Linked DNA regions of Rhinolophus ferrumequinum. The protein of the gene in region 4 purifies or fractionates together with the protein of the main gene of each other region. This does not show direct contact. Links are inferred from orthologs where the notes say so. Each region holds a gene or a part of one and is shown on either strand. Other genes may lie near its edges.

Region 1 (7,593 bases), on a different chromosome or scaffold from region 4:
GTGGTGGTAAAAGTCCGAGGGAAGTTTTAAAGGGCACAAATCACACAATGCCCAAGAAAATCACCCCGCCAAAGGCAGCCGAGGCTTGCAACTGACCTTCAAAAGCATAAAACGTAATAGCTAAGACATGGAAGCAATCTAGATGTCTATCGCTAAATGAGTCAAGATGTGGTACATATACACAACGGACTATTACTCAACCATAATAAAGAATGAAATCTTGCCATTTGTGGCATAAATGGACCTAAAGAGTATTATCTTAAGTGAAATAAGTCAAAGACAAACTGCCTGACTTCACTTATGTATAGAATCTAAAAAACAAATGAATAAACAGAAACAGACCCATAGATACAGAACTGATGGTTGGGGGGGGACAAAAAGAACCCTAAAATACCTCGAGTATTTGTACGTACGAATAGCCCCACTGCCTTACAACCATAAGCAATGGTGGCCATCGTTTTTCATTTAGAAAGGACAAAAACTTCCTCACAAACTCTGGATAACGTAAAAATTTTAAGAGAAAACCAAGCCATACCTAGGTAAGATATAGCTTTTGAAAAAAGGTACAAAGGATATAAAGAGACAACCTACTCTGCTTTGATATATGATGCAAACCTTAGAAACGTAACTACTCTCACTTTTTTTTTCAGGGCACAGCTCACAGTGGCCCATGCAGGCATAGAACAGGCAACCTTGGTGCTACCAGCACCACACTCCAACCAACTGAGGTAACCGGCCACTCCTTAACTACTTTTACAGAAATTAATTTTCCCTACCTTAAAAATAAGGTTTTTTAAAATGTACTTCTTCCTTAGGTAGGATGTTAAAATAAAAAGAGGTCAACTGTGATTTTTTTTAAAGTCCTCCTAAACATACAAAGTTTGGAAAAACCTTATATTCAAAATATAAATCCTCACATTTTTACTACCTGACTTATCCAGTAAGTCATTTCTCCAAGTAGACCTTAAAATTGTCTTTTGTTTCCTACATTATCATTTCTAGGACTATTCTTTTCTTCACCGACTTCAGTTTTCTTCTCATTTACCTCCCTTTTTTCGAGTTTCAAGTTCTCTCAAATTCTACTCATCAAAGAGAAACTACACTTGTTCAATCTTTTTACTGATCCCACTCTAATTCACTAATAAGCCTGCAGTTACCAGCCTTTCACCAGGAGGTGGTGTCCCGGACAAATTTAAATCTAACCACTTTTAATACCATCCTAAATTCTAGAATCACTTCCAAGGAAATGAGAAGACAAAAAGAAATAAACTTTTTTTAATCGATAGCACCTCAACTCCAAACACAAAGGCGTAGCGTATCCACTGACTCCTTACCAGCAGCCATCAGACGTGACGTGCTGGCCAGCTGGGCTAGCTGGCAAGCTCAGCGGCTGGGCTGACCTTTACCTCTAGCATGCAGGCAGGGGCACTCAGTGTCTCCCCAGTGGAAGGAAACCAGTCACACACACTAAGGTGACATGGTCAGGATTACACTGCAATCCCAAAAAAGCTGAACTAAAAATAATGTGCCAAATTTGAAAGTGCTCTCTAAAATTGTAAAAAATACATAGACCATCCCACCACAAACCTGGTTTTCTCGTTTGCTAGGATGTAAGCTGCCAGTGCTGGTAAAGGGCACAATTATTTGCTTGAAACTCTCCAAAATCAGAGTTATTACAAGAGGAAATGTTTGTTCTTGGTTGTCCCCTTGGTTCTCCCACTTAAAAATAATGGGCTTGCTCAGAGGAAAGGCATTGTGTGCACTTAGCTGCAGGCCATGGGACTTGAACCGCCTGTCCATAAATTTAGTCTTCCGAGTGTCACTCCAACTCTACTCCCCACCTGGCGGCCAGTACCTTTCTGTCCTGCAGCCAGAAACGCCTCCCAAGTCTACCCCTTTCAAATCCAAAACAAATGTGAAATACCGATATTCTTAAGAGTGCTGAACTCATCTCCAATTCTTTAAAGGCTCTTCAATTCCCAGCTTGCACCACGCTAAGCCTAGGTAGGCATATTCCAAAAACCAACTTCTCAACCCCATTTGTTCTCCTCCTACTTCCTGTCAAGTCATCCACACCTACAAACCACTACACCAAACCAATTTAGTCCCCAAATTCAGATTCCGCATAACCCAAAAATTCCACAGCTCATCAGACAGGATGCATAAACAGCACCCACCTTTTCATTCCACACCATACAAGTCCTAACCCCAAAGAACAGGTGAAGACTCTTACTGGAAACAAGAAAAGTTTGCATTAACCTTCCCAAAGAACCAGGGCCGGGGCAGACTGGGGAGATGGGGGCGACGGCAGTACATAATTCCTTCCAGCTACCACTAAAGCGTCTTCCACATTCACAATTATTAGGATAAGGGCGATTAAAGATTACGAACAATCAGCAAATAAGTTCAAATGGTTGAGGGTTTATTTTTCCCTTTTGGTCATTTTGGTCTAACCTTTCTACTAAATCAAATCCATCGCCTTAAAAGACTGTAGCCATAAAAATCTTACAACGAACCTACAACTGAAACAGAAACTCTGAAAACTGCAGGGAGCACCGCTCAGCCCACTCTTCTAGTGGCGTGATCCTTCCCCCGCGGCCACGTCCTTCCTGCAGTTTCTGGGAGAGAAGAGAGTCGGCACCGAGTTTCCGTCTCTGACCACGACAACCCCCACTACCTGCGAAAACCTTTTCCGAGACGCTAGTTTGCCATTTGCACTTCTTGCATGCTTTCCACACTTGGGCAAAAGGATCAACACTTCAGCTACACAAACCGCGGAACACCTTGAAGTAAAACAAAGCAAGTGGCTTTCTAAGTTAAGCTGCAAGCCAGGCATGTCGCTCATCAACCAACTTTGGAAAAATCTGCGGCGAGTCGTGGACGCGCGCCCTGTGCTCGGCGCCGCGACGCCACCTACCTGTTCTGCTTCGGGGCGGCCCACGAGGGCTTACGACGGCGCCAAGACCGACCAGCCTCTCAGGCCGCAGGCCGCGGCCGCTGGGAGCGGGACACGCCGAGCGAGCGAGCTCGGCCCGCGCCGGCGGGCCCGGGGAAGGGGCCCGGGGAGGCCGCCCGCCCGCCGCCCCGGCCGCACCCAACCGCCGGCGGGGCCGGGAAGAGACCCCCGAGGAGGGGGTGGCAGCGACGCGCCCCCGCCCCGCCCCACAGCACGGCCCGGCCCGGCGCCCGCCCTAGAGCCCCGGCCCCACTCCAGGCCCCAGCCCGCCGGCCCCGGCCCGCGGCCCCGCACCAGGCCCCCGGCCCGACCCCCACACGCTGCCGCCCGGGCGGCTCTCACCGAGGACGCGGGACCGGCAGCGGGAAGGCGCGGCGGGGTGGCGGCCCGGTCTCCTCGGCTCCTGCGCGGCGGCGCTGGTGACGGCGGCGGCTCCTCGCGCTTTCCTTTCTCCTTTTCTCCAACAACAAACAGGAAGTGCGTCACGCGGCGGCGCGTCCACTTCCGCCCAGTCGACGCTGCGCATGCGCCCCGCCCGCCCCCGCCTTCCCGAAGGTTCTGGGCGGCCGGGCCGAGCGCCGCGGGCCGAGCGCTGGTTCCGCGGCCCCGCACCCCGGGAGCGCGGGGGACGGGCACGCGGCTTCGAGCCGGTCGTCCGAGTTGTGCTGCCCCGGGCGTTAGGTTAGCGCGACTTGGATGTTCTGCCGCCTCCGCGCCTCTAGTGTCCCCACGGGTTCCGCGCGGGCGGTCCGCGCGGCGCGGGCGGGGGTGTGGTCGGACGACACGACCCCTGGCCCTGGAGAGGAGGCGGCGCCCTGGAAGCGGTCACCGGCCCCGGGAGGTCAGAGGGTGCTTGGCGGCCTCCGCGCGAAGGTCTCGGTGTCCGGCTCCTGCCCCGGCGTCTGCTGTCGCCCTTCGTGACCCCGAGCACGCTCGTGGGCGGCCTTCTCCCTTCCGGGAGGAAGTGTCCTGCCCGCTGCACGCACGCGGAGGGCTGCCATGTGCTGGGGCCGGGCCCTGACTCGGCCACCTTCTCGTCTAACAGCCCTTGCCGAGTTCTCGCTCATCTAAGCCCTTGACATACTTGGGGTGAAGACGCTGAACACCCCTTGTGTATAAAGGCTGACAATAACCTCATTCTCGGCGTCTGGGACCCAGAAGGAGCCATGGTTCTAATTTTCCCTACTTCAAAAGATTGCTCCCTACGGTGTACGCCTACAACTAGTACAACAACGTGTGTCAACCACAATTGCAAGCAACATTTTACACATTGCTTTATATTGTGTCTATTCATTTCTTGGGTTTCTTAAACACTCACTGTGTTACAGCACATAGTTTTTGACCACATAGCAAAAATTAAAAAAAAAGATTGTTTACCTGATCCTCTTTCGTGTAGTCGGTTTGATAAATGACTGCTGAAAAGTAAGGAATAACCATATTTGGTCTCAGTATGGACATCTCATGCTAAAACCTAAGACAATCTCAGAAGAGACTGGAATTTCATTCAGATATATGCACAGTTTGGATCTGGCACATGTAACCATATCTACCAGCAGGTTGATGGAGTTTTATTTCCCTTCCAGTGTTGACAGTGCTATCATGTGACATTTCACATTTAAAAAGTCCCTACAGCAAGTGTGAGCTAATCTTGAAATGCAGACAACAGAGACATGAACTTTAAATAGTAAGTGGTAGGCTAGCCACAAATAACTTCTTCCGCCCTCCAAAAAATATATACATATATTTATTAAAAACATCTGTCAGTGCAGTGAATTGTATCATGAGAAAAAAACAAGGTACCAGCCCTGATGAAAAGCACATGGTATACTGGGAGAACAGGAATAAATACCCTGAAAAATAACAGAAATATTTATGTAATATTTCACTCTTTGTGAAACAACCGAGAAAATCTTTCAAGATAAGATTAATCATTTATTCCAAAGTTAGTATCAGCCCAGATGGTGGTGCTACTGGAACGCTGGTTCAGAGGACGACCACTTCAAAATAGAAGAGCAAGTATTTACACTGAAGGGAACAAACGGCACTTGGAGAGGACCGAGGAGGCCAAGTGCAAAAGCAGACGGCCTAGGGAGAGTGAGCATGTCGGTTTGATGGAAGCAATCATTTTGAACCACGATAAAGAGAAACAAAGATGGACAAGCGCTGGGCCTGAGCAGAGGCCAAGGGCTTCACACGCTCTCTGTAGGCGAGGGAAGCCGAGCAGGGACACCGCTACGGTCTGCAGGAAGACGAGGAAGACTTGATGACTGTTCCCTCGCCTGTAAAATGGGGATAATGAGCTTGATGGGGCGGTTAATTGTATGTGCTTAGCTCCGTGCCTGGCACACAGTAATACACAGTAAATAATAGCTCTTCTGTGTCATGGCCTCTTCAAGAAACTGACAAGAGGTTCAGGCTTCTCCCCAGCAAAATGTGCAAGCGATCTGAATAAATCGGTAGACACACACGCACACTCACATGCCCACACCCTGCCAAGCCCATCCAGGAGTCCAGCAACCTCAGGTGAAGATCCTGAATGATAGTTTGGAAATTTTTATCAAACTGAAATTTGCCTTAGATCCAAGGATAACATTTACAGAATTTTGCCTTAAAACAATAAGTGCAATGTTAAAAAAGAGAGAGAGAAAACCACAGGCCCTGAATGGCATCACTTGTGCTAAGTCCCATGATATGAAACCTAGATTTTAATACCTGAGCTAATTCCTGTTTCCACCTGTCCCAGAAACGTAATCAACCACTCTGGAATTTTCGTTGTATGGGCCCTCTCCATCCCCCAACCCCTACTCCCTGGAAAGAACTGTCAATCTGCATGATAAAACTTGCCATCCCCTTCCCCCCTCCTTACTACCCACCCCCCAAGATGAAGTCCTGATCTAGAAAGAATCCTTTCTTTTCTTCTGCTCACAGCTTCCTTGCCCCCTGAGCTTCTTCGTATAAAAAACCTTCGATTTTGTGCTGGCTGGAGCGCCCTTCTAGTTTTTAGATAGGAGGCTGCCTAATTCATGAATGGCTTGATAAACCCAATTAGATCTTCAAATTTACTCCATTTATTTTTTTCAACAGCAGGAATGAAGGAAAAAAAAGTATAATACTTACAAGGTGATGGATAACTTTGCAGATAAGCAGTTCCTCCTTACCAGAAAATACCATACAGGCCACAAATATAATAATGCAGTTACGCTTGTTGACATCAAATATATCCAAGATGCATTACTGAGACGGTGGGTATAGTGATCCTGTTTTTGTAAAATTGTATTCACTGTGTGTCCCATGGGTGCATACATACGTGTATGTGAAATAATTTTCTCTGTCCCGTCTGAGTTCTTGGCTGAGACGCCCTATAATAAATGACAGATAAATAAAGGAGAAAAACAAATAGAAGTTCAGTACCATGAACAGCTCATGTGCACAGGGAGAGACCCAGGAACACTTAGGAAGCTCCAGGAGGTAGCAGAAGCCACCACCTTCAGTAGCATCTTCAGGTAAAGACGACAGATGTTGGGTGAGGGATCCTGCTATCAGGACAAGCAAGATAAACAGTTAGGTGGTTTTGCAGACATCAGTCCCCTTCCTTCTCCAGTGATAAGTTTCTTGGAATTCAGAATCACCCTCCACTTCCTGGCACTGAGGGAGACACACTTACAAATGGAGATTTCCCTCGACAGGCAAATTTCCCTGACAAAGGGGTAAACTTCCGCTAGGTTTCAGCGCTTCTCCTGCCTCTGCAGTTCCTCAGAAATCATTGGCTCAAAGTAACCCTTATGCCAAAGAGGTACATTCTGCTACTTAACACAAACACAGGAAACGGGGAGAACACTCAGCTTGAAAACCTAGTCAAATGAACACATGAAAGCCCTTCACCTCCATTCATCAATTGCTACCACGTTTCCCACAGCTTTATCTCTGTGACCATTTGAAAGCAAGTTAGCTATCGTGACACTTCACCCCTGAATATTGTAGCACGCCTCACGGAAGAATAAGGAAAGTTTCCTACATAATCTCAATACTATCATCCCTCGTAAGAAAACCAGCATTTATTCACTAATACAGTATGATATGTATTTGAGGGGGAGCAGCATATGCCACCCCAAAACATGTCATTTTTGGCATGTGGATTCTTTTGAGCTGAAGGCAATGAAGGCCCAGCAGATTCAGGAAAAGCTTTTCTTTATCCCTTAACTGCCTAAAAGAATTTAGGTAGGGGGCCATGCGAGGAAGAGAGCAATCACCACATATCACTCCACATAACTTTTCACACGGGAAAGACTTATTGGCGGGGCGCGGCAAACACCTGTTACCCGCATGCTCTTCCCACCTTCCTGTGATTGACCTCCCCGCTCTGGATCCGCAGACCCCGCCCTCCCCCTCCTTAGCTCCCACGGTTCTTAGCCTCAGTGATCTGACTGCCCGGGAGTCTCATATTAAAAGACACAATACAGGAACATCACTGATGGTTTATCAGACATGAGGAAATCAGAAACACTGACATTGTTGGACAAACAGGAAATCCCATTTAGGACAGCCATACTTCCAGACTGCAAATAAGGACAGGCCTTGTTTTTCTTCATCGGGTACTTTTTCTTTCTTCAGGAGTAAAAATAGTTTCAAAGTAGGAA
Region 2 (8,364 bases), on a different chromosome or scaffold from region 4:
CCTGAAACAATGCACAATGATTGTTAAGACACAACTTCTGACCCCCAATCCTAACATAAAATGATCCATTCCTATCTCTCTGCAAAATCTTAAAAAGGCAGAATGGACACCTATACTGCTATCTGATTGTCTAAAAAAGGGGTAGAAAGTCCAACTGTGCCAGTTATCAGGCTTTCTCAATTTACTGGAAAATCAAGACAAAGGTGAAGACAGGTAGACTGTCTAACTTTAAAATAAGTACTGTCCAAGAAAACTTATTACAAGGTATACCATGTAATCTTAACTACATTTAATGCTATTATTTTCCCTCAGTGATGACAGTCAGTGGCCATTCTTTGAAGAAGTGAAACCAGTAAACTCAAACACGAAAACCCACCCACTGAGCACTTTCCACATTGAAACAACTTAAATTTGGTTTTACTTTCTTATGGGCTTATTATTTAGCAACTTACAGCTTACACCAAGTTATTTGCCAAGAATTAAGTCTCACCTCGGCCACGACCCCTAGTACCACCTCGTCCACCAGCTGCAGCACCTCTTCCTCCTTTTTGTTGTTGCTGTTGCTGCCTATATACCTCTTTGGGTTGTGCAACTTTGATTTCACACTATAAACAAATTTTAAACAGCAAACAAAATTGTTACTAAAGTTCTGAAGTTAAGCCATTTTATTCTCAAAACAGATTTGAGAAATTCTTTCACCAATAAAAACAAATTCAAAATTTCCATTTAATATATAAAACAGCTTTACCTTCCCAGAACCAATTTGATGGTATCTGCTTTCTAACAATTTCTTTACTGGCTCTTCATCTGTGTATGTGATAAAACAAAATCCTCTTCTTTCATTTGTTTTTGTGTCCATGGGAAGTTCAATATTTTCAATCTGAAATCAAGATGAACACTCAAGACCATCCAGTAATGGTAAGAAGCTACCAAAAGGTTTTAGACTCCCACAGGGCCTTTTCAAGCTTCGCCATAACGTTATTCTAATCAGATGACTTCTGTATAGACTACTGTTTGTATAGACTACTGTTTTAATAACATCAAACTAGCTTAGTTTGTTTTATGTTAAGCATTTAGAGAGAGCAAAACTTCCTTTATTATCATTTCATACCCAATAAATGCCACTAGTTAATAAGTTCAAACACTGACTACACCAAAGCACCCATGTTATGGCCAAAATAAATTAAATATTGGTTTCCATTACAGCACAGAAAGAAGTGATTAAACCGTGATGGCTGGAAGGAACCTGAGCAATAATTTACTACCACCTTCACCTGATATATGCATTTGTTCTGTAAGAAGTGGACCAGGGATGAACATTACATAAACACATCAAATACAAAATATGAACAGCCACACAGCGCACCTCTCCAAATGCTCCAAAATATTCTTTAATTTGTTCTTCAGAAGTGTCTGGGCTCAATCCACCCACAAAAACCTTTTTGGGAGGTTCCTTTCCTTTTAAAGCTTTGGCCCTTTTGGGGTCTATCAATTTGCCATCCAGTTTGTGTTCCTTCAGTTCCAAAACCTGGAAGACAGATTTATTTAATCTGACAGCACTGTACAACCAACCCATGGAACAATTTGCAAAAAAAAGCACACAGAAGCAGCACAACGCAAAACACCGTTCCTACCTTATCAACACTAGCAGCATCTTTAAAAAGCACAAATCCAAATCCTCTTGATCTTCCGGTGACTGGATCTGTTTTAATTGTGCAGTCTACAACTTCCCCAAATCGAGACAAATATTCAGTCAGATCTTTCTTGCTTGTGTCCCAGCTCAAGCCTCCAATAAACATTTTACTAGAAATAAGTTATTTTTTTAAAAAGGTTAGCAGCAGCTCAAACGATTACTCCAGTTCTGGTATTATGTTTAACTATGAAATAATACGGGGAAGTTTAACCCCTATGCCCAAGTCATTTAATCCATGTTTTCAGATACATTACATCAAGACCACAAAAATCCCAAAATTCCATCGCAGCCACTTATTCAAAACAGTTAACAGCTTGCTCTCCACACTGCATAAAGCAAAGTTTCAACAAGGCTAACAATATACGTTAAACATTTTAGTTTACAAATCCAACTTCCTAAACGAATCTTTCACAACTTAGGTCACTCTCTTCCTCAGCTGTCAAGCCAACGTTCCACCTAAAGAACTCATCATAACGCGTCCTGAGGTACTGGACACCAGTGAACACTACTGGTTTCCAAACCAAAAGCTCCAAACTCTCCAGGAAAACTGCGCGGGGCCGTAACAGGGACACAATGAAGAGGCGGCGGCAGCTGCAGCATGTGGCGCAGCGAGGCCGGCCCCTCCCCCTCGGCCCCACGCAGCGCCTGCGCACTCGGGACACAGACGCCACCGCCCTCCGCTTCCAACTCCTCCGCCCTTCCCCCACCTTCCGCGGGCCTCTCGAGTCACCCCCCTCCGACTCCTACTTTCTTTTCTCCAAGCTAGTGAGGCTGATAGCACGCGGGAAATCTACTCGGGGCAAGCATGTGCGCAGCGCGCGGTACTCGAAGGACGAAGAGCGCGCGCAGCGCGCTGGGGGAGGGGGAGAGGGGACAAGCGTGCGGTACCCGTCATCCTGCTGATTTTTGCTTGCGTTGATCTTGGATCCCTCTGCGAATTCCTCTATGTTGCTATACTCGTTCATGTCCTCCATAGTGGCGGAGTTGTCGGCCGGGGGGTGCTGGCGCGCAGTCCGAGTCGCGGCAGCAGCGGCGGCTGAGCGTTGTATGGAGCTGGATTTAAAATGGCGGCGGAAGAGATCCGGGCGCCGCCTGCGCCCTCCCTTTATAGCTGCCCCGCCCGCCAATCGGGAGGGCTGCTGGGCAGTGACGTGGCGCTGGGCCCGGCGCGCCCCCTGCCGCGCGGAGCTGGGAGCGAGTGAAGGGAGGAGCGGGGCGAGCTGTCGCGGCGCCCGCGGCCGCCAATGGGAGAGGCTACGGGAGGCTAAAGTAGCGGGAGCGGAGGGGAACAATGGCGGCGGCACATGGGAAAGCCGGGGCGGGACCTCCATCGCGGCCCTCCGGTGAGGAGCGAGGTCGCGGGTGAGGGGGCGCGGGTTGGGATAAGAAAAGCGTCAGAAGAGAAAAACGAAGGAGCGAAAAGTCCTGGGTCAAAAATCCCGAGCAACGCCGTCGCAGGGCCGAGTCCCTCTTGCCTGGAGAGCCTTTGTCTCTGGCGTCCGGTCCAGCCCACTCCTAGCAAAGAGCCGTCAACCCCGCCTTTTTCCGCCCTCGGTCCCCTAGTGCGGAGCTGGTGCGGCGGCTGTTATCGTTTAGCACCGTGGCCGGGTTGCTCCAGAAAAAGGCGGACTGCGCCCGGCACCCGCGGCTGAGGCAGCGAGCGCGCCTGCCAGTCCGCCGCGCGCACGCGTGTTTTGTCCTCGAGCTGGCTGGAACCAGCCGAACAGGAAGCGGGCGCGCGGCAGCCCCTCCGGGCAGCGGCGCGGCGCCGACTCCTCTTCCGCTACCGCCACAGGCGCGCGGGCCGAGAGGGCGCGGCGAGCCTCTCTGGCCGATCGGCCGGAACCTGGGCCAACGCAGTCAGGCCAGCCAGGACCCCGTACGGCCTCTTGATGGCTTAGGACGGGAGGAGGGGCGCAGGCCCGGTCAGATTACTGTAAATATGCAAAAGCGGGGGCAGTGGGCGGGGAGGGGGCTAGGTGCCGTAGACGGCAAGGGGCACTCACATCCCCGGCGCGCCACTCGCGGGGCTCCCGTCTGCACGTGCCCCGGGCCTCTCCCGCTCGCTCAACCAGTCTGCGGAGAGCGCGCTCCCGCGCACCAGGCTCCCGCGTTCGCTTCTTTGTTCCCGCCCACGCGATGCCCATTTTGACGGATCGGGTTCGAGGCCCTCTGGCGGCCAATCGGTGTCGGCGCCTTTACCTCCTCCCGCCCTCTCGGAGCCCCGCAAGTTCCGCCCCTTTCCCTGCCCACGTGGTCTCGGCCTCAGGTTCTGGGCAGCTTCCGAGTTCAGGTCCCTTGTGTGGTCGCCTTCTCCACTTTCAGGGGCGTGGAAGTGGCCTCTTCCCCTCGTGCTTCAAGCCGCACCCGGTTGCACGCTGCGAGATTCTTGCGGAGCTGTCGGAATCCCAGGACAGTGCAGGGCGCAATAGGCACCGCCCTCTACCCTCCCTACCAGTAGGCCGATTCCGGTGGTAGCATCCGGTAGGGAAATGGTCGTGCTTTCGGTGCCCGCTGAAGTCACTGTTATCCTGTTAGATATCGAAGGTACCACAACCCCGATTGCTTTCGTGAAGGTGAGGGGCGGAAGGGAGCAGGGAATTGTGCTTAAAAACATAATTTTAAAAAAGTATTGGCAGACCTTTCACCAGAGACACGAGGGGTAGGAGAGGTGGTGTGGCTTTGCGCCCGCTGTGGAACAGGAGAAAGAAGAAAGGCTGTGGCGGGTTGCGGGGATGCTTTTTCTTATGGCACCATCTTCACTGTCCCCCGTCCCTATCCTTGGTTAAATGCAGATGGTTGGGAAGGGATGGAGGTAGTGGCGAAAAAAGGCAGAGGAGGGATGGTCCGCCGCGGGAGAGGTAAAGTAGGCGCTCCCCGCCCCGCAGGTGCTTGGTCGGACCTAGCTAGGCGGCGGCCGCGATCTAGATCCTTGCGGCTTCTAGTCCGGCAAAATGGAAAGACTGAAGTGTCACGATGAATTTTCAGGTAGCCCTGGTTTCTTGTGCCTTGTCATATAATCTATTCATTATTTTTATTAAGAACTATAGTATAATATTACCTTGTTATACGTTAATTTATCAAAGTAATGTAACTGAAAGAGTATACTCATCTAAAAGTATGCTCAGAAGAACATTGGGTCTGTGTGGATGTTTACAGTAATTATGCAAGAAAGGATTCGGTATTAAATGCACTTTTGGGAAATGTTCTGTACATGTTCAGGTTTATTGCACGGCTTCTCAGAGTCAATCTCATACACATGCACACATATATGCTTTGTGAGTCTTCCAGAGAGTAGCATTTCACAAATTTACTTAAAAAAACTTTTAGCAGAGTATATCTTTGAACACCTTTTAAAGAGATGCTAAGTTATATTCTTTAACCTCCGATCGTGGAGCAGGGAATTGGGAATTAGTCACATTAGATGTGTCACCTTGTAGCCTGTTTCCTGTGGAATGGTGAAAGGAAACACTGAGTACTGTATACATGCCACTTGTACACTTGACTTATCCTCAAAAACTGTGATATGTGCGTATTTTACTGATAGGACAATGCCCTGAAAAATTGAACAATGCCCAGGATTTGAACCCAAATTGCCTGACAAAAACCTTACTCTTTCCATTATTGCACTGGATCTCGGAAATGGGAACCACAGTGCTTGTTGTGTCTTTGCTTTGCTGCTAGGTATGTTAAATGACTCAGTTGATAAGAGAACACTTTAATCAATATGAAGTACCATAAAAGTATATGGGAACAAATTTCAGTTTCTTGGTGATAGGTTTAGAAGTGAACCAGAAAAACTACAGTTGAGTCTTATTTTATTTGGGGATTTGATTCAATAGTCGATGTATACTATGAAGATTAATGTCAAAAATTGCCATTGTAATACCCTTAGCAAATCAGTCTTCTTTGGAGGCCGATTTTCACCTTTAAGTTAAGTCATATGCAACCATTTTTCCTTTAGGATTGAAACAATCCCTGCTTTTTTCCTTGAACACCAGAGGAAGTATAAAAGTTTATGTTTAGGTGATGTAAATGAAAAATATGTTGTGTCAAACATGAGCCTCACACTGAGCCACTCACACTGTAAGAGACACAGGGGAACTGAGACTGTCCCAGGGAACAGAACACCCTCGTTTAATGGAATGGCAGACAGATTGCTAGCACTGGTCATGGTTTTTTGTTTTTTGTTTCTCTCTCTCTCGCTCTCTGTCGAGAACTTACAGTTAAATGTGTATATGATGCAGCCTAACTATATATGATAACACTGACAGTCTAAGATCTCATAGGATTCCATACAATCCTCCCAGTCTGGGAAGTAGTATTTTGTGGACAGTCTGTTGTACTCAGTCCTTAGACTCCAGGCAACAACATACAATGGTTTTACTTACCAGCTATTATGTCTTTTTCTGAGTCATAGAATTGTCAAATTACTAGTGCAGGATGGGCTCCTAGCTGGGATTGTCTAGTGAAAGTTGCAACCAGATAATTAGTTTTTCTGATGAGTCAATTGATGTCTGGAGGGATTTCCTGTATGAGGATCATCACAACTTGGGGGCAGAGCAGCAGAAGAACCCAGATTTTCTTAGGTGGTCCCAGTGCACCTGAGTCCTCAAAGCCACCAGCCCTGTCCCTCACTGCAGGACACATGCCCCTGGAGTTTATTTTCTTTTCATGTACTGACTCTGATTGTCTACAGTGGTGATCTCCCAACAATTTTTGGTCATGTGTGCCGTCAACAGAACTGAAGCCGGCACTACCATTAGAATTTAGAAATTGTGTACACATATTATTGTACTGTTAAGTTACAAAATAGAATTTAAAGATGACATTAAAATAATAAGTATAGATGAATGTTAGTACTCTTTTCTTACCTCACTGATTCATTTGCACGTCCTGGGGGTATAGTATGTACTCTATGGAGCCACCTCTTGAATTTTGTCTTTGGTGATGTAATATTCATTTTTTGACTTTGTACATTGTATTCTAATGTTTTTAGTCTGTAAGCTATGAAATAATACCATCATCAGTCCCTGTGGTTATCCTGTCAGGAACCTTAAACTGCTGTTTCTGAGTTTGAGGGAAAATGATCTCTTGTTCCTCAAAATGCTCTAAATTTGGTGGCTTTCCTGTTGTTACATGTCAAGTTGGTACATGTAACAACAGTTTCAGTAATGTTCCATAAAGTCACTGAGAATACCATGTGAGCAAATACTGAATCCTTGCCCCTAGAACAAATATAGTTAGGTTCCTGTGAGCCTGTGGTCACAACATTTTCATCAACTGATCGATACATAGCCTTGTTTTATGTGTGTTTCTGTTTACCTTATTTAATATATTCTTGGTTAATTAACATTGGACTCACAGCCAATAACACTGTAACTTATCCTTAAATGAAGCTTATTTAACACATATTTTCTCCATAAGGCACATCAAAGCTTTCTGGCACTTAAGAACACTAGATAGGGCTTCAGCGCTTTGCTTGGCCAATTTTAAACTGCAAAATTACGAACAAAAAGCACAAAATATGAAAAATTTGGTACTAAATAGATTCTGAAAAAGACACTTGTTTAAAATATGAGAGGTAAAACAGGAAAAGCATTACCTTGTACTGGGAATATGTACATCTGGTGTTTCAAAATTTTGCCAGTCTGCACACGCACTTGTTCTTGAATTGATCGTCACATTGCAGCGAGTATTGGTGATTGGGGGTTACAAATAAATTTTAGTGACTAGAATTTGCAAATATGGAATCTGCAAGTAATGAGGATTGACTGTATAGAGTAGTATTTACAAGGATGGTCTTGGAGACTGCAAGTCTGGATTAGCATTCTGGCTCCTCCCTATGTGACTTTTGGCAAGTTAGTTAACGTCTCTGTGTCTCGGTAAGTATTTCCTCAGTTGTACTCTGGGGATATCGACTCATAAGGCTACTATGAACATTTAATGAATGCTTAGCTCCTGAAAAAACTTTATAAAAGAAATAAATATACTTACATCAGTATTTCATCCACCATCCCACCAAATCTTGTCAAGAAGTAGTGGAGGTGGGGAGGCATGTTTGTCATTTATTCCTCACGAAAACTTTTCGTGCTTGAAATAAAATCTTTGTAATAATTAAGCTTGCATTAACCAAACATAAATCTGATTAGGATATTTGTCCCTAAAATATATTTAGTGGGGCATGGTGGGTACCCTTGCCAATGAATGGCTCTTTATATCTGCTTCTCAGACTTTAATGTTTATACAAATCAGCTAGAGATCTTGCTAAAATGTAGTTTCTGACTCAGGAGATCTGGAATGGGACTTGATATCTAACAGGTTTTCCGTGAATTTCTCAAAGGCTCCCAGGTGATGCCGATGCTGCTAGTCCACAGACCACACTTGGAGTAGTTAGGCTTTACAGGAATTTGTAAGCTCGGCCTATGCCTCGGCCTGTTAGTGTTGTTCTTGTCTAATGACTTGTTTGAGATAAGGTAGACCAAGCAAGAGAGATGAGTTAGAGAAGGTATGACTTCATTAACAGAACCAAAACCTCTCAGAAGTTAGCTACGTTGATTATGGATCAGTCAAGCTTTATACAAACGAAAGCACAATAATGAAATATGCCTGGTAGACACCAAAGCATTCCCCAGCTTTGGCAAATCGTCTTCCAGAACTGAACTATAAAG
Region 3 (7,758 bases), on a different chromosome or scaffold from region 4:
CTGCCAGTTCGATTCCTCGAGTCCCGCAAGGGATGGTGGGCTCCGCCCCCTGCAACTAAGATTGAACACGGGACCTTGAGCTGAACTGCCTCCTGGATGGCTCAGTTGGTTGGAGCAAGTCCTCTCAACCACAAGGTTGCCGGTTCGACTCCAGCAAGGGATGGTGGGCAGTGCCCCTTGCAACTAGCAACGGCAACTGGACCTGGAGCTGAGCTGCGCCCTCCACAGCTAAGACTCAAAAGACAACTTGAAGCTGACTGGCACCCTCCACAACTAAGATTAAAAGGACAACAACTTGACTTGGGAAAAAAGTCCTGGAAGTACACTCTGTTCCCCCAATAAAGTCCTGTTCCCCTTCCCCAATAAAATCTTAAAAAAAAAAAATCATATGCTCATAAAAATACATACAATTTAATGAATAATTGCAAAACACACATCCATGAAAATAACCTTCAAGATAGGCTGTCACTTTCCCAAAATGGTCCTCTGTTCCCTCTTCCCTACAGGTAAACAGTCTCTTATGGTAATTACTTCCTTTTTAAAAAGAATACATTATCACACACACAAACATGCATCCCTAAACAATGTTTAGCTTTGCCTGGTTTTGAACCTTATAGTTAGGGAATTATATTGTATACATTTTACCATTAAGGGACATTTGCATTGTTTCCAGTGTTGAGCTATTATGAGAAGGACGCTATGAACTTTCTTGTATGTGTCCCCTGATATGTGCATGTACATACTCAGAAGGGGAACTGGTTAATGTTAAATGGTACTTGTTAAATGGTACATGTGCTTTCAACTTATTAGATAATTCCAAACTGTTTCCCAAAGTGCTTGTACCAATTTACATTCTCATTCATAGTGTTTGAGAGTTCCTGGTGCTCCATGACCGATCCAGTGTCTACTGGTAGAGTAGTATCTCATTGTGGCTTTAATGTCCACTTCCCTAAAGACTGCTAAGGTGGAACATCTTTTCATTTGGCTGGTCAACTGGATATTCTCTTTGGGGAACTGTTTCACTCATTTTTTTCACAGAGTGCTTCTCTGAGATGCAATTTTTTTACCTATGAATTAAGTCAAAAGTTTCAAAATACAGTTCTGGTGAGAAGATGGAAAACCAGGTGGCAGCCCAGTGGCTCAGGCAGTTGGAGCGCTGTGCTCCGCCGCTGGTTTGATTCCCCCATGGGCCAGTGAGCTGCGCCCTCTACAGTTAAGATTGTGAACAATGGCTCTCACTGGAGCTGGGCTGTGATGAACAGCTGGAGGTCAGTGTGGGCTTCTGTGGGCTGCTATGAACGACTGACCAACGACTGGCAACCGACTGCCTCAGCCGGGGGGAGTGCAAGGCTCAGAATACCAGCATGGGCCAGGGTGCTGCGCCTTACAACTAGACTGAGAGACAATGGCTTAAAAACCGAGGGGGGGGGATTAGAGGCAAAAAAAAAAAAAAGAAAAACTGGCATTCCCACTGTTAAAAGGAGTACATAACTGGGCAACAACTCTTGCATACATTTTTAAAGAATCCATTAACCTATTTGCAAATATATACAAAGAACAAGAATGGTCATGGTAGATTTGTTAGTAAAAGATTAGAAATAGCTCAGAAATCCATCAATAGGAGACTGGTTAATAAAAGATATCTAGCCTTACAACAGAATTCTGTTCAATTGTTGAAAAATAAATTACGTAGAACACTATGTGCCTATATGCAACAGGCTATACAGGAAAGTAAAATGAGAAGATCAATATATTGCACAGTGTGAAGAGTATCTTCTTACAAACGTGAAAAAACCAGAGGTATACACAATTATAAGCTTGTAAGTTTTTAAATGAACTTCCACAGGAGAAATAGGAAACAGGTTGAACAGGGGTTACTTCTGGAGTGTAAGACTTTTCAATATACATCCTTTTACACATTTGGAATTCTTTTACTTTGTGCATGTAATAATATTCACATGGCTCAACATTCAAACTTTACAATCGGGTATAGAGTGAAGTTTCCGAACTGACCTGCCAGCCACCCCGCTACTTTCTCTAAAAGATAACCAATGTTATCAGTTCCTTGTGCCTCCTTTCAGAGACACCTAACGTCTCATCTTTTCACTTAAAACAAATAGTCGAGAATGTAAAATAGGTTACATTAAGTGACCATAAAGTGAATAAATGGCACCTGAAACTTACTCATCATCCTCCTGCTCTAGCTTGTGTTTCTTTTTACAGGGAACTGAAACACTGTTGAAATAAACAAAAAAGAAGTTAATTGAGAAATTTACTGAGCTTGTGCTTTCAGCATTCACTCTGTCATGCTCCAATAAGCTTGCCCAACTACAGGTACCCACCCAGCTATCCCTTTCCTTGTCGAGTGGGGCGGATATACAGGTCACAAGGTCAGTCAGGTAAACGGTGGGTGGTTATGACCTAACTAGAGATTGAAATCTAAACTCATTCTGTCGCGGTAATGGGAGATAAATTTGGGGAGGCTCACGTAGGGAAAACGTTTTCGAGGCACTGTGCTAACCCACTTTATTTCCAAGGTCTCTAGGAGAACCCATTTCTGTCCCACTTTGCGGGAAAAAAGCTGAGTGTCCGACAAGCATTCAAAGTTGCTCCCACCAGCGGTCGCACCGTGCCCGTTGGGGGAACCAGGCGTGTATGCGCTGAGAGGACGTCCAGGCTCCAGTCGGCCAGGGTTCCAATCCCGACCCCACCTGGACGAGCTGAGGTAAGTCTCCTCACTTCTAGGAGGCGCAGGAGGGCTGAGGTCCGAACCGGACTCCCGGGCTGTGCGACCTCCGGCGACTTACAGTTAAGGTCTCTGGGGATCAGTTTCCACATCTGTAGACTGGGGCTGAGAAGCCTCCCGCGTCCGTCCGCCCGGCCCGCCCCGCGTCGGCACGCCCGCCCGGCTCCTCACCGTCCGCGAGCGGCGCTCCCGTCGGGGCTGCTCTGGGCGGCGCGGGGTTCCGGCCGCGGGGCCAGCTCGGCGCCGTCCGCCCCCGGCGGGAAGGCCCGACCGGCTAAGGCCGGAGGCGACTGCAGCAAGTCCGAGCCTCCGCTTAGGGGGAGACCGCTGAACGGCCGGCCGAGCGCGGCCATGGCCGGGGAAACGAGGAGTTCGTACCCGCGGCCCCGGCCACCCACGTCCCCGGGCCCGGCAGCTGCGGCCACAGCGACTGCTGAAGCGTCCACCTCTGAGCCCGCTCTTGACCTCACGTCACGCCTTCTAGAACCCTCCACTCCGGGCCGCCCAGGGGCACGCCGGGATTTGTTGTGTGTGGAGAGGCCCCTGCTGCAAGGAATGCCGGGAGTGGCAGTCCTTACAGACTACAAACAAGATGGCTACCTCGCCTTAGTTTAGACTGCTAAAGCTTGAGGATGGTTCTATCGGGCCTTGAATATATTCTAAGTTCGAATCCTCTGTAGTAAAATCCGATAATAATAGTGCCTATCTTCATGGGGTTGATGGGAGAAGTAAATGAATTAAATATCTAACGCCCTTAGAACACTGCTTGGCACATAATACACATTCATTAAATATCAGCTAGTATTAATTCCTTCTATGTTTTACTATAAATGAAGTGGGTGATGCCTCTGAGGGAACAGCATGGAGGATCAGTAAATACCTCAGAGAACTTGTGAGAAGCCTTTCAGCTGCTGCCTGGGGCATCAGAGACACAGGCTTGCCAGAGGGGCTAGCAGAGTTTGTCAACTCCAACCACAGATCATGCCTCATTTTTCCCTTCTCAGGTAATAGTACCATGATCCAGTCCGAGTTGCTTGTGCCAACGTCAAAGCCCTTCAGCCAAAGACCTATAAAGATCTACAATTGAACTAAGATGTGTTTTATTGACCTCTTGCAGTGAGGGAGGGTCTTAGTAAGGGGGTGTTCGAAAAAGGTTTTTATAGAATATGGGCTGTGTTAGGTGATTTGGCAGAAGGTTCAAAGCAGCAGAGCTTCGCTCTGGAATTAATACTGTCAGTAAGCACGGATAATTCTGACTGGGTATCATAGTCAATCTTTTCTAGAAGGTGGGAGGAATGAAGCGAGGCTAAACCTGTAATTGGTAAGGAAGCAAATGGTCTTCGTATTAACCAGGATAGGGGATATTTGGTCACTTGTGGTTTGGACAATGTTCATTTTTGTCTGCATTCAGACATGATTATGAAGTAGTCTTGTTTTAGCTCGATCCATCGAACTCACATCTTGGTCCTTGTTTAATGTTGACATTCTGCGAAATTGTTTAACAGGAAGAAACCAAGTCCAACCAGATACCAGTGCAATTTCAGCTGTCAGGAGATGCTTTCCTCTTTCTAACCAAAAACCAAAGCATCATTGATGCCTCTTTTTTGTTCACCACTGTATTTTATCAGTTAGCAAGTCCTATGGGCTTCATTTGTGGAATGTTTCCAGATTCTCTTCATCTTTCTCCATTTCTATTGCCCTCACAATGGTCTAAGAAAATGACTGAATCCCCTTTGCCTAATGTAATATAATGTATTAGGTTGAAGTTTTCTTAGTGGCATTTACCATCCAGTTTTGTCTCCCTAAGGGAACACCCTACTTATTGCAACTGGATATACAATGTAGTCTCCTGAGTCATTTCTACAAATGGCCACCTCATTCCTCAAATGAAAAAAATATACACATATAAATATATATTTATAAAAAGGGAATCCTACTCTATATGTTATTCTGAAACTTCTACCTAATTATATTTCTTGAATGTCTATCCAGATTCATTCTTTCATTCTTTAATTCACAATTCTATACCAGGTTGCATACTAGGCAATGTACTAGAATTAATAATGTATTAGGTACTTCCTATTTGCAAGTATTCCTCACATACTTCAAGTATTCCTCACAGGAACTCTAAATCGGATGATTTTATTACCTGCATTTTACAGATAAGGAAACTGAGGTAATTTGTGATTCCCCCATTCCCTCAGCTATAAGTGAAGGAGTTCTACCCCATGTCTGAGACTTTCGATCCTGCCCTAGATTGCTAGGCTTTGCTCTATCTTACTGAATTCCCTGAAAGAAACTAGTTTAGAGGAATCGAGGAAAGTCTTACTATAGTGTGTCTGAGAGAGATTCCTTGGGGCTTCAGACCCTGGAAGCAAAAGACAGGATTATTGTGCAGTTTCCTACACTAGACGGGGGAGAATGGCTCTAGAACTTGATAGCGGCCACTTTACACATCTCTTCTCGGTGACAGTACAGGCCTGCCTCTTTGAGGTGACCTCCAGCTTATCTCTCATGGGATTGGTGGGACATAGACATACACTGAGACATTCCCTTCCTGAGTCCTTTCTCCTGTGGCTAATCTTGAAAAACAAATGAAAAAACCCACAATGTTTTCTGGTTATAAAACAAACAGGTTCTTAGTAGAAAATTAGTGGAGGTGGTGATAAAAGTATAGAGAAGCAAATAAAAATTGCCTTAATTCCATCCTGCAGGAAGCTCCACTGTCATGAATATTCTTTCAGTCTTTTTTCTTATTTGTGTATGTGTACACGCACCTGTCTGTGTGCTAGTGTATAATACACACATAAGAGCTCTTCATTTTCTCATTTTGCTCTCACAACTAGACCACAGGTACTCATATATCTCTATATAAAAATAATAAAACTAAAGCTTAGGATAAATAATGTATCTACATAATTAATAGTCATTCGTTAATAGGGTTTAGCAAGAAACAACCTTGTCAGGATGTTAATACAAAATTATTAGGCTTCATCCCCTCTGAAAAAAAGGCACCAAACAAAACTGTTGATGGCAATGACCCATGAGGGTTGGGGTTATCAGAATTTGCACTTTCTGGGGATAAAGTTTAAGCTCCCCCCACCCCCCGGGAATATGTACTGCTTTGTAGTCAGATAAAGAGGATAAATGTTTTTGAAATAAACATGTCCAATATGATAAGGTACAATGGACTGAATATTTGTGTCCCTCCCTCCATCCCCCAATTCATATGTGAAAATCCTAACCCCCAGTTAAGAGGTGAGGCCTCTGAGAGGTGATTAGGTCATGAGGGCAGTAAGCCCAAAGAACTCCCTTGCCCCTTCCACCATGCGAAAGAGACCCCAAAGAGCTCCCTTGCCCCTTCCACCATGAGAAACACACAGCAAAAAGATGGCCATCTAAGAACTAAAAAAGGGGCTATCACCAAACACTGAATATACTGGTGTCTTGATCTCGGACTTCCCAGCCTCTAGAACTGGGAGAAATAATTTCTGTTGTTTATACCACTCCGTCTATGATATTTGTTGTAGCAGCCCAAACGGACTAAGACACGAGGTTAAAAACAAGAAGTCAAAAGAAGCCATCGAGACCAGCAGCAGCAAGCATGTATTGAGTACTCACTATGTAGCAGGCACTGTACTAAGTGTAGTACTTCATATCCTCTCCACCGTAACACTCCACTACTATATTGTCACCATTTTGCAGCATAAGAAACTAAGATTCAAGGAGGTGAAGGCCTCGTCTTAAGGTCAGACAGTTAGGAATGATGGTTCTGGAAAGATTTGACTGATTCAAAAGCCAGAGATATCATCACTGTTTGCCATAAACAAAGAGAAACGTTCTTTCGTGCTGAGCACCCACAAAATTCATATTCAAGGGAAGAGCCCTGATTAGTCACGTTTCTCCAGAGAAACGGAACCAGTAGAATATATATAGAGAGATAGATGTAGGAGATCTATTATAGGAATTGACTCACATGGTTATGGAGGCCAAGAAATCCCACCATCTGCTGTCTGTAAGCTAGAGAATCAGGAAAGCCAATGATGTAATTCAGGCCTGTGAATCAGAGGGCTGATGGTATAAGTCCCTATTTGAGTCCAAAAGCCTGACAACTAGGACCACTGATGTCCAAAGGCGAATGTCCCAGCTCTAGCAGGAAGAGAGAACCAATTCACCCTTTCTCTGCCTTTTTGTTCTTTTTGGACCCTCAATGGATTGGATAAGGCACCCCCATCCGAGGGCCATCTGCTTCACTCAGTTTCCCAATTCAAATGTTAATCTCTTCCAGAAACATCCTTACAGACACCTTCAGAAATAATGTTTTACTAGCTACCTGGGCATCCCTTAGCCTAGTCAAATTGACACATAAAACTAACCATCACAATTCCTAAAGCACTAATGCTCATATTTAAAAAATGGCAACAACCACTATTGTCAAGGGTGGAGTGAAACCTGCAAATTAAGATGTTGCTAATGAAATTCCAAATAGGGGAGCACCTTTTCAGAAACAGCATACCAATACTTTTATCAGATCATAAAAATATTGGTGTATTATGTCTATAGGTATGAAAAAAATGTTTATGTATGAGGACAAAAAGGGGGATGTAATATGTAAATAGGAAATACTGTGTTAGGACATGGGAGTTTTTCATGATTATTTTAAAGCGAATCCCAGAAACATTTTTTTCTAAATGCTTTAGTGTTTATCTCTAATAAATACTTTTTCAAAAAACAAAAAATAACCTCAATGCTTTAGCATACCTGACAAAATTAAGAATAATTCTTCAAAATCATATAATCTGTATTCATATTTTTCCAAGTGCTCCCGAATGTTTTTATTGTTGGTTTGATAGCATCATGATTCAACATTGCTTTAGGTTTGCCTGTCTCTTGAGTCTCCTTTATCTAGGTCCCCTGTTTGCTTTTTTTCCTTGTTAATTATTTGTTGACTCACTAGGAGATCTGGACATTGGCATTGGCATTGTGAGCCCTGATGGTGGCGATGAGGCATC
Region 4 (8,058 bases):
ATTGCTGTAGAGGACATGGTTCTGGGGATCTAACTTAATTGCTTCAGAGTAGCACTGTAACGCATCGTCGATGTTGCCAGCGCTCAGGGCCTTATTGCCCTTCTCTTTTAGCTCATTTACCTGAGGAAAAAAGGAGCCAATCTAGTTTACTTCCACAACATGCTTATTTAGTCCCAGCTTTTTAGGTGATGCTCATTCTTTGCTGCAGTTATCGACAAATAGGTTACTTTACAGATCAGAAGAGAGAAATCATAGATTAATTCATTTACATTTCCCACACCTTTGGGAACCAGCAAGGAACAAGTAAAATCACCAGGCAGAAGAAGCCTGATACTCTCCTTTCCCCTGGCTCTCGTGTGGATTACTAGGAGCCCCAGCCACTCTTCCAAATGTCCACTTTGAGTTGATGAAACCTCTAGAGCACACTCATGAGTTCCTGTCATAGCAAAATAAATTCATTTGACATAGGTTTCCAAAGAGTCCAAATGATAAACTGAGCACAGACCTGATCACTCCCTACAGGAAAAAGCCATCAGGATGTTCTTACACGGTCAAAAAAGAATCTATGTATTTTCATTTACAGGTGTGGTAATATGTCACAACATAGCAGATTAGTGCCCTGCTCCTTAATGGTAAAGGAAAGCTGGCCCCCCCACCCCAAATCAGGTTCTGACGTGCTTAAGTGTTAATATATTGCAAAGGAAATGAAGAATGAAAAAATACTATTTGCAGTTTAATCCCTTATCCTTTCCAACATTCAGAATGCAAGAAGCAGGAACACACCAAAGCATTTAGAAAAGTGACGCGGGCCTTGGCCATCAGAATAGGGTCCTAATTAAAGGGGTTTCTAATCAGGGATGCCCTATGAGAGGGAGGGCCACACCTCAAATGCAAACACATCCAGAGATCAAGCTATGCCATTCAAGTTACTGCATCATTCTTTTTTTTTTATCAGCCACCCATGACCCAGTATACTGATGCAAGAAAGAACTCTTAAGAGAAAATTATTTTGGAGCCCTGAGGCACACCAATCGGGAACCTCCATCAGAGAGATCTTGAAAAGAACCCTCGAAGTCAAAAACGGCAGGAGATTGCCAAATTCAAGCAAATAAGGGATAAAAATCTTAAGAGTTCAGGATGGAAGTCAGAAGGCAAGAAGTGTAAAAACTCAACTAGTAACAAGAGACAGTTGAGAACAACTCAGTAAAGTTCCTGCCTGTCCTATAGAACATCATTTTCCAAACTGAGTACAGTAAGTCAGGAAATCAAGTTTGTAGATTATGACCAGCACTTCAGAAGATCAAATGGAATAGAAAAATATCAGTGTGTAATACACGTAACAGTATCCTTTTGTTAAAAACATGTCATACACTTGTACATATGTACTGGGTCAAATGTAAGAAGTGAATCACTGTGGGATTTATCTTAAAGGTACTGCACTTGTTTAACAAAAAAATACAGTTTTGGACACTCTAATTTGTCCAATTTGAATATTCCCTAAAGCTGAAATGTGAATCTCAGAGTTGAAAATGAAAACAAAATGTAAAGAAATCACACGTTTCTTTTCAGGAACGGGTTTAAGACAGTATATTCTCACACCTGGTCATCTGTACAAATGCCAGGTCATCTGTACAACTGCCATGGTAAAGCTGCAGTCCTGGGTTTAGTTTTGACATTCATTTAAAGTCTACCTGTAAACACACTTCCATAATGGGTGTGTGATTTCTTCTTTCAAAAAAAGTTTTTCTGGTATTTTGTTAACTGCAGGAAAAAAGCATTCTTAAATTTAACGATGTGTTTCTTGTTCCATAAATCTTTTTCTCATCTATACTACAGCCTATTTAATCCCAGATACAATTTAAATTACAAGGGCTCAAAAAAATTGAACTTCTCCATTCCACTCTCATGTTTTTTTAATTTAGCAGAGGCTCCAAATTTGACCAAAAGAACAATGGCTATCCTAACAGTAAAAGGTTCAGCTTTATCCCCCCAAAATGAGCCTTTTTCTCTCCCCCACCCCAGATCGATCATTACAGTTCAATGACAGCTTCCAACTGAATCAAACCACTCTAAGCCTTTCACAACCTTCGAGCCACTGAGGTATAATTAAGTCATTCAAAGCAACCAGCAGCAGCAGCTTCAAACTCGGCCCCTCTAAAATACTGAGCAAAGGCAAATAACTGACTTCTTGCTGTTCATCTATAGTCTAAATTTTCTACAGCGACTAAGTCCTCCTTGTGTAATTAGAAACCGACCTTTCAGAAGTGTCTGTCCTCAGTTACTCTAGAAACACACACACACAAGGAGAAAAAAAAGAGGGAGAAGGTTGCAAATAAATTTGTGAAACACTGGTGGAGGGAATAGATTCCAAAGACTTTTGCTGCACCCTCTCCTTTCCGGCATCAGGCAAAGTCGTCGGCCTGCTACTCTTCACACCTTCACTCAACACTCTTCCATGCCGGTTTTCAGAAGCAGCAAAATAGTATTTCCCCCAACTGGCTAAGTGCCTCAGCTACTTCCAGTGTATTCCCGTCCCCGCTGCCTGCATTCCTCCAAGTTAACTGTGGCCAAGTCCTGGGTGGCTTCTACGTCGGCAGTCTCATCTATCTCCCAGAAAGCGAATTCCTTGACGTGCACCCGATCACTCGCGCCTCTTCTGAGGTCCCTCGCCTACCTCCTTCCCCCCGACTTAGCCCGGAGCCACCTTCCGGGAGGCCTGCGGGACCCAGCCACCGCGCCTCTTCCCGCCGAGGGCCGGACTCACGCCCAACTGTCGTCTAACCCGGGGCCGAGTCGAGAGGTGAACGGCGTGGAGTGAACCCGACGTTCCCGGCGGCCGGGCCTCGCTCCACCGCTCACCCGCCGGCCAGTCACGGCCCTCGCACCCTCGCCTCCGTCGCTGCTCCGCCCGTCCGAGCTCCCAGTCCCAATCGGGCACCCGCCCCGCCCCTCCAACCATCGCCTGGCCTTGGCCGGTCAGCGAGCGGCCCTGGGTCCTCAGCCTGCCCCTCCCCCTTCACCTGCTCCATAGCCGGCCCGGTACTCCGTTGAATAGACTCCGTCCGCTACGCGTTCCCAACTGCACACGCCGCCTTCTGGAACCTACTAGAAGCTGCCGGGACCCCCGGATCCCGCCCCTTCCTCGCCTGCTCACTGGTCGGGCTCTTCTAGGGGCTTTCTGTGCTTCTCTACTATTGGCTTTAAGTCTAGTCCATCATCTTTGCTTCTCTCTCATTGGGCAGCTGCGCCTCGGGATTGGGCGCTTTCCGACAGGCCCCGCCCATCCCAGGCTCTACGATTGGAGGGAGGGGCGGAGATCTGAGACAGGAATTGGTTGCTTGCTCCGCCAGTCGTGGCCGTGCTGGCTGCGCCCATTGGTCCTGTTCTTTCTGGAAATTTCCACTTTTCCCATTGGGCTGGCGGACTCTATGACGGAAACTCCTTCAGATAAGAAAAATTTCAATTGGGCGGAGATTTGCCAACACTCTGCGCTGATAGGTGTAAATCACTGCCCTTCAAAGGGCAGTGTGGGGTTTATGGGAGTTCGAGGCCACGATCACCCGCTGCACAGTTTGCTCCCGCGGCTGCGGGGCGGTCGACTGCTTCTCTCTTTCATCTGCTGTGGTCCTGCGGAGGATTCACTCCTCCTCAGCGGCAGAAAGCTTCGGTCTCGCCCGTGCGGCGGGCTCGGGGGGTTCTCAGCCGGTGGGGGTGACTGTCTGGGTTGGCTTCAAGAGAGCTCCCTGGTCCGTCCCCGGATCCCTGCTGTTCGATTCTGAATGTGGAAAAATACCGTGCGTGGCGGTGAAGGCGATGGGGCTTGGCTAGGACAGACCCGGCATCTCACCTTGGCGGGGCCTGTGGCCCGCTGGGTCCCCTCAGTGGAGATGCATACCCTCTCTGAAATTCTCCAGTAAAGGGTTGGTAATTTGGGGCCGCGGAAGGGTTCATATTCATGAAGTATTTAGCGTTTAGTGAAAGGGAGCTACCACCTTTATACGGATGTCAAGGAAACAGATCTCAGTGTGGTGTTTGACTACCTCCTGGCCGGCGACGGCGGCCTGGGAGGGTCTTAAACCGCTGCCCAAAAGCGCGAGGCTGAACAGGCACCCGGAAAGAGGCGAAAAGGAAGGACTTAGATCATGAATGAGACGGCCTGCGGAATTAAAATGCTGATTTTCCACCTGGACCAGTGGGTGGTTTATGGAACAAAGGAGCCTCATAAGGGTCTGCAGAGAGCTTGCATGAGGGTCCTGGGCTCTCCTGTGTCCTTGTTCTTTCCCCTTTCTAGCTAATGCCATCCCTTCCCAGGGTTTTAAGTGCCCTACTGTATGCCAGTAGCTTCTCTGCACTGCATCCTTTTACATCCCACCTGTCTTTGATCCATTCTGGACACTGCAGGCAAAGCCAATGCGGATCCACAAGCCTGCTGGTTAGAATTTGGAGGCTTTAGATTGGGGCTCAAGGCCTGTCTAATCTGGCAGGACTACATTTGTCACCTCTTCTTTCCTGTCCTCCACTTTCAGCACCCAACTCCAGCCACTCTGACCTCTCTGTTCCTTGAACTAGGTGGGCTCCTTCACTCTGGGCCTGGCTGCAAGCTGCTCCCTCTCCTGGGATCACCCTTCCACCAACTCTGCCAGGGTAACGTCTCCAATGTCTGGCTGAGATGAGCTGTCAAGACATCTTGACAACCGGCCCCCAACAAGCACACTAATTTCTGTCCACTTGTGATTTGCTTTCACAGCACTGTGGACTATACATGTGTCCAATCACAAATCAAACCAGTGACTGGTACAGCACCACATTTTGTGAAGTCAAAGAGGGCCTTGTGTCTGTTTTCCTTTATCCTGTGTTCAAGGTGCATTGCATGCCTGGCACACAGCAGACATTCATTAATCCATCAAATATTATTGAACGTCCTATTATGTATTAGGTGTAATTGTGGGCAGTGGAGAAAATGCAGTGAACAAAACTGACAAAAATCACTGTTTTCATAGTGCTTGGTCTAGCAGGGAGACAAACTAAAAGTTGATATAGTGTATCTGCTTAAGTGCAGTGGAGGAAAATAAATCAGGGAAAGGGTGCAAGTGGTGTTGGGTGACCAGGGCAAACTGTGAAAACCTAACATATGAGAAAAAACCTGAGGGAATGAGATTCATGAAAAGTCTAGAGAAGAACCTTGCATCAGAGGGAATAGCAAAAGCAAAGGCCCTGGAGTGGGCACTGCCCTGGGGTGACCAGAATGGCAGGAGCAGGGAGAAAGTGGGAGAGCCAGAAGAACAGGAAGCAGGGACAAGGTCCTGCAGGTGGGAGGCAATTGTGTTCACTTTGGAACATGCTGGCAGGTTTTGAGCAGAAGAGTGACATGATCTGACTTCATTTTATCAGATCCCTCTAGTTGCTGTGTAGATGAAGAGTTGGGCAAGGGTAAAAGCTGGGAGACCTCTTAAGTGGCTGATGCAATAATCCAGGAGAGCTGTGATGGTGGCTGGGTCAGGGTGGGAGCAGAGGAGGGCTGAGGACTTGGATTCTGGATGCATTTTGGGGGGAGCTGACAGGATCTGTTGATGCATTGATTGCATCGCACGAAATATGGAGTCAAGGATGATTTCAAGGCTTTTGGCCTCTCTTATTCATCTGCTAAATTAAATCTGTCAACAAGACTTTTCCTTCTTGGCATTGTCTGCAGACCACCATACTTCTGTCAATCCCACTGCTGCCCCCCAGACCAACTCTTCCTTCCTCTCCAGTGGCTTTTGGAGGCCTTCTGTCATCTCCCCCACAGCCTGTCTCCAGGCTTCTTTCTCATTCCTCCCTCTCTATGACCTGGCCTTATCATCTCCCACAATCATTTTTTGTAGGCCTACTATGTTCAGTGCCCTACTCTGGGTACAGAGGCTCAACAGTGAACAAGGCAGCCCACAGACGCAGCTTTCGCTGCACGGATCTTGTCTTCTAGCGGGAGGGACAGATGATACTTAAACTCATCAGCTGTGTGACTTGAAGCAACCTACCTAACCTCTCTGCTTCAGTTTCTTCCATTTTAAAATGGGGATGAAAAAGTTTCAATGTCTGAGTAGTTATGAGGATTAAATGATTTGATATTTGTAAAACACTTGGAACAGTGCCTCATGACAGAGTAAGCACTATATGCATTTGTTAAATAAAAATAAGTGCATAAATGAAGATAATTCTAGAGTAGTGAGTGCTATAAAGAAAACAAAAGGCAAGGGATAGAAAATAACCAGGGAGGCAGGAAAGGAAGGCTTTCCTAGAGGTGGGTGGTTAGTGAAGGCCCTGTAGACTTGGAGTGGTGAGAAGCCAGCCAGGAAAAGGCTCCAGACATGGCAACAGATGGTGCAAAGGCCCTGAGGCTGAAACAAGTTTGGAATTTGCAAGGACTCAGACATGGCTTTTCTATGCTCTATGTCCTTGCCTGTAAAGGGATGATGAAGTGCCAATGACTTCCCGAAGTTACTGTGAGGATTAAACAAAATAACTCATGCTAGAGTCTTGTCAGACTGGAAACTTACAAAAATTTGAGATCTTTCTTTGAGGAAAGAAACATACAAATTAAGAAATGAGGTATGGAGTTTTGGAAGGGATACAAACAGGAGACCCTAAAGTTTAAGCTTACTCAGTGTCACAGTAAAGCCACTTCTGAACTAGTTCTTCATTCATAAATACTAGCTCTTATTACAATTTCCACTAACTTGGACTTCTCCATATTTCTCGGTGAACTCAGAGCCATCCTGAGTAGGCAGGGAGGCAGAGATATGGGCCGGCCAGTGTCCCCTTCCCCAGATCTCTGCAGCACAAGCAGCAGCTCCACTATAGAAGGCATCCTGGCCCATACGTTGCATGGCAGGTCAAGTGATTCATGCTGCTATTCTGGTACAGCTGCTCTCAGGGTGGGGAGCAAAATAGCGAGGGCTGTATTTGGAGTCCACTCAGGCATCCTGCAGCGAGTGACAGACTGAAGGGGTCAACGTGTAAGACCAAATTCTCTGCATAGCAAACTCCCAGTTTTAAAGTTCTCCCAATATCAGTAAAAATAAAACATCTGGACCTCAGGAATCTCAGCATGGCAGAGAGCAGTGGAGGTTAACATTTAATTTTGTCTTATGATTTTGTGGGTCAGGAATTTGAGCTTGAATTCTGGGGTCTGTAGAACATGGAATTTTTGTCTTTACAAGAACTTCTACTACTGGAATGGGAATTTGAGACAACCTGAGTTTCCTTCTCCAAGTAAGAGTGAATTTCCGTTCGGGTTCTGAGAAATTCCTAAAGAATATTTTCATTTCCCACTCCTGCTGACAGCATCTGAGTCCTGATTAGTGGGGAAAGCGTGGTGGGAAATAAAGTGCCATAGAATTCTGCTCAATTCAGTGAACTTGTCTGGAGAACCAGGCACTGTGCCAGAGGCTTCAAGGAATAAAACAGCGGTAATTATTATCCAATAATTATTCATCAGAGAGCCCCAGAGCCCAGCCCAGGACCTTGCCATCCAACACTGGGTGACCTCAGTCAGTCTCGTGGCTATAAATACCATTTCAAATGACTCCCATACTTCTATCTTTGGCTGAGATCTCACTCCCAATCCCAATTTCCAGACTTGTCCACCCAGATGCCTCCTTGATGTCTCACTTGGAAGGCTAATGGTCTTCCCAATGTGTTCAAGTCAGAGCTCCCTATATTCTCCCCCCAAGTTTTTCCTTCCTGGCTTTCCCTCTTCGTCAATGGCCTCACCATTCTTGGGCTGGTTCAGGCTGAAAACTTTGGAGGTGTCCTTGACTCTTTCACAACCACATCTAGTTCATCAACAAATCCTGTCAGCTGGACACAGACCCCTTTGCAACTCCCCAGCCATCTCCTAGCTTTGACTGGGAACGGAGAAAGAGTGTTGGCTCCCTGAATTGGTAGGTGGCCAGAGCCAGAGGTGGGACCCCCCCCCCCCCCGCCCCGAGCCTCGGCTCCCAGGCCATTTCCTATGAGCGGTGTGGGTTTGGGGTGGAGGATGGCAGGAGAGCTGCTGTATCCAGGGGACCACCGAGG

What was found.
Region 1: the proteins of STIP1 (region 4) and DNAJB6 purify together in Homo sapiens (affinity purification with mass spectrometry; 3 studies listed by BioGRID and IntAct, with this or other methods). This does not show direct contact. The link is inferred for Rhinolophus ferrumequinum from reciprocal best matches to the Homo sapiens genes STIP1 and DNAJB6.
Region 2: the proteins of STIP1 (region 4) and HNRNPDL fractionate together in Homo sapiens (co-fractionation; 3 studies listed by BioGRID, with this or other methods). This does not show direct contact. The link is inferred for Rhinolophus ferrumequinum from reciprocal best matches to the Homo sapiens genes STIP1 and HNRNPDL.
Region 3: the proteins of STIP1 (region 4) and CCDC117 purify together in Homo sapiens (affinity purification with mass spectrometry; 5 studies listed by BioGRID and IntAct, counting the BioPlex papers as one, with this or other methods). This does not show direct contact. The link is inferred for Rhinolophus ferrumequinum from reciprocal best matches to the Homo sapiens genes STIP1 and CCDC117.

The regions. Positions count from the first base shown.
Region 1 is NC_046309.1:769,328-776,920, forward strand, and holds the start of DNAJB6 (dnaJ homolog subfamily B member 6), read right to left. Parts: upstream 3,452-7,593; 5' UTR 3,299-3,451; intron 1-3,298. UniProt on the Homo sapiens protein: Has a stimulatory effect on the ATPase activity of HSP70 in a dose-dependent and time-dependent manner and hence acts as a co-chaperone of HSP70. Plays an indispensable role in the organization of KRT8/KRT18 filaments.
Region 2 is NC_046288.1:37,427,627-37,435,990, forward strand, and holds the start of HNRNPDL (heterogeneous nuclear ribonucleoprotein D-like), read right to left. Parts: upstream 3,216-8,364; 5' UTR 3,025-3,215; coding exon 2,582-3,024; intron 1,804-2,581; coding exon 1,635-1,803; intron 1,529-1,634; coding exon 1,367-1,528; intron 881-1,366; coding exon 749-880; intron 606-748; coding exon 491-605; intron 2-490; coding exon 1-1. UniProt on the Homo sapiens protein: Acts as a transcriptional regulator. Promotes transcription repression. Promotes transcription activation in differentiated myotubes. Binds to double- and single-stranded DNA sequences. Binds to the transcription suppressor CATR sequence of the COX5B promoter.
Region 3 is NC_046308.1:18,340,138-18,347,895, reverse strand, and holds the start of CCDC117 (coiled-coil domain-containing protein 117), read right to left. Parts: upstream 3,268-7,758; 5' UTR 3,100-3,267; coding exon 2,918-3,099; intron 2,236-2,917; coding exon 2,185-2,235; intron 1-2,184. UniProt on the Homo sapiens protein: Facilitates DNA repair, cell cycle progression, and cell proliferation through its interaction with CIAO2B.
Region 4 is NC_046294.1:7,220,307-7,228,364, forward strand, and holds the start of STIP1 (stress-induced-phosphoprotein 1), read right to left. Parts: upstream 3,158-8,058; 5' UTR 3,030-3,157; coding exon 3,021-3,029; intron 121-3,020; coding exon 1-120. UniProt on the Homo sapiens protein: Acts as a co-chaperone for HSP90AA1. Mediates the association of the molecular chaperones HSPA8/HSC70 and HSP90.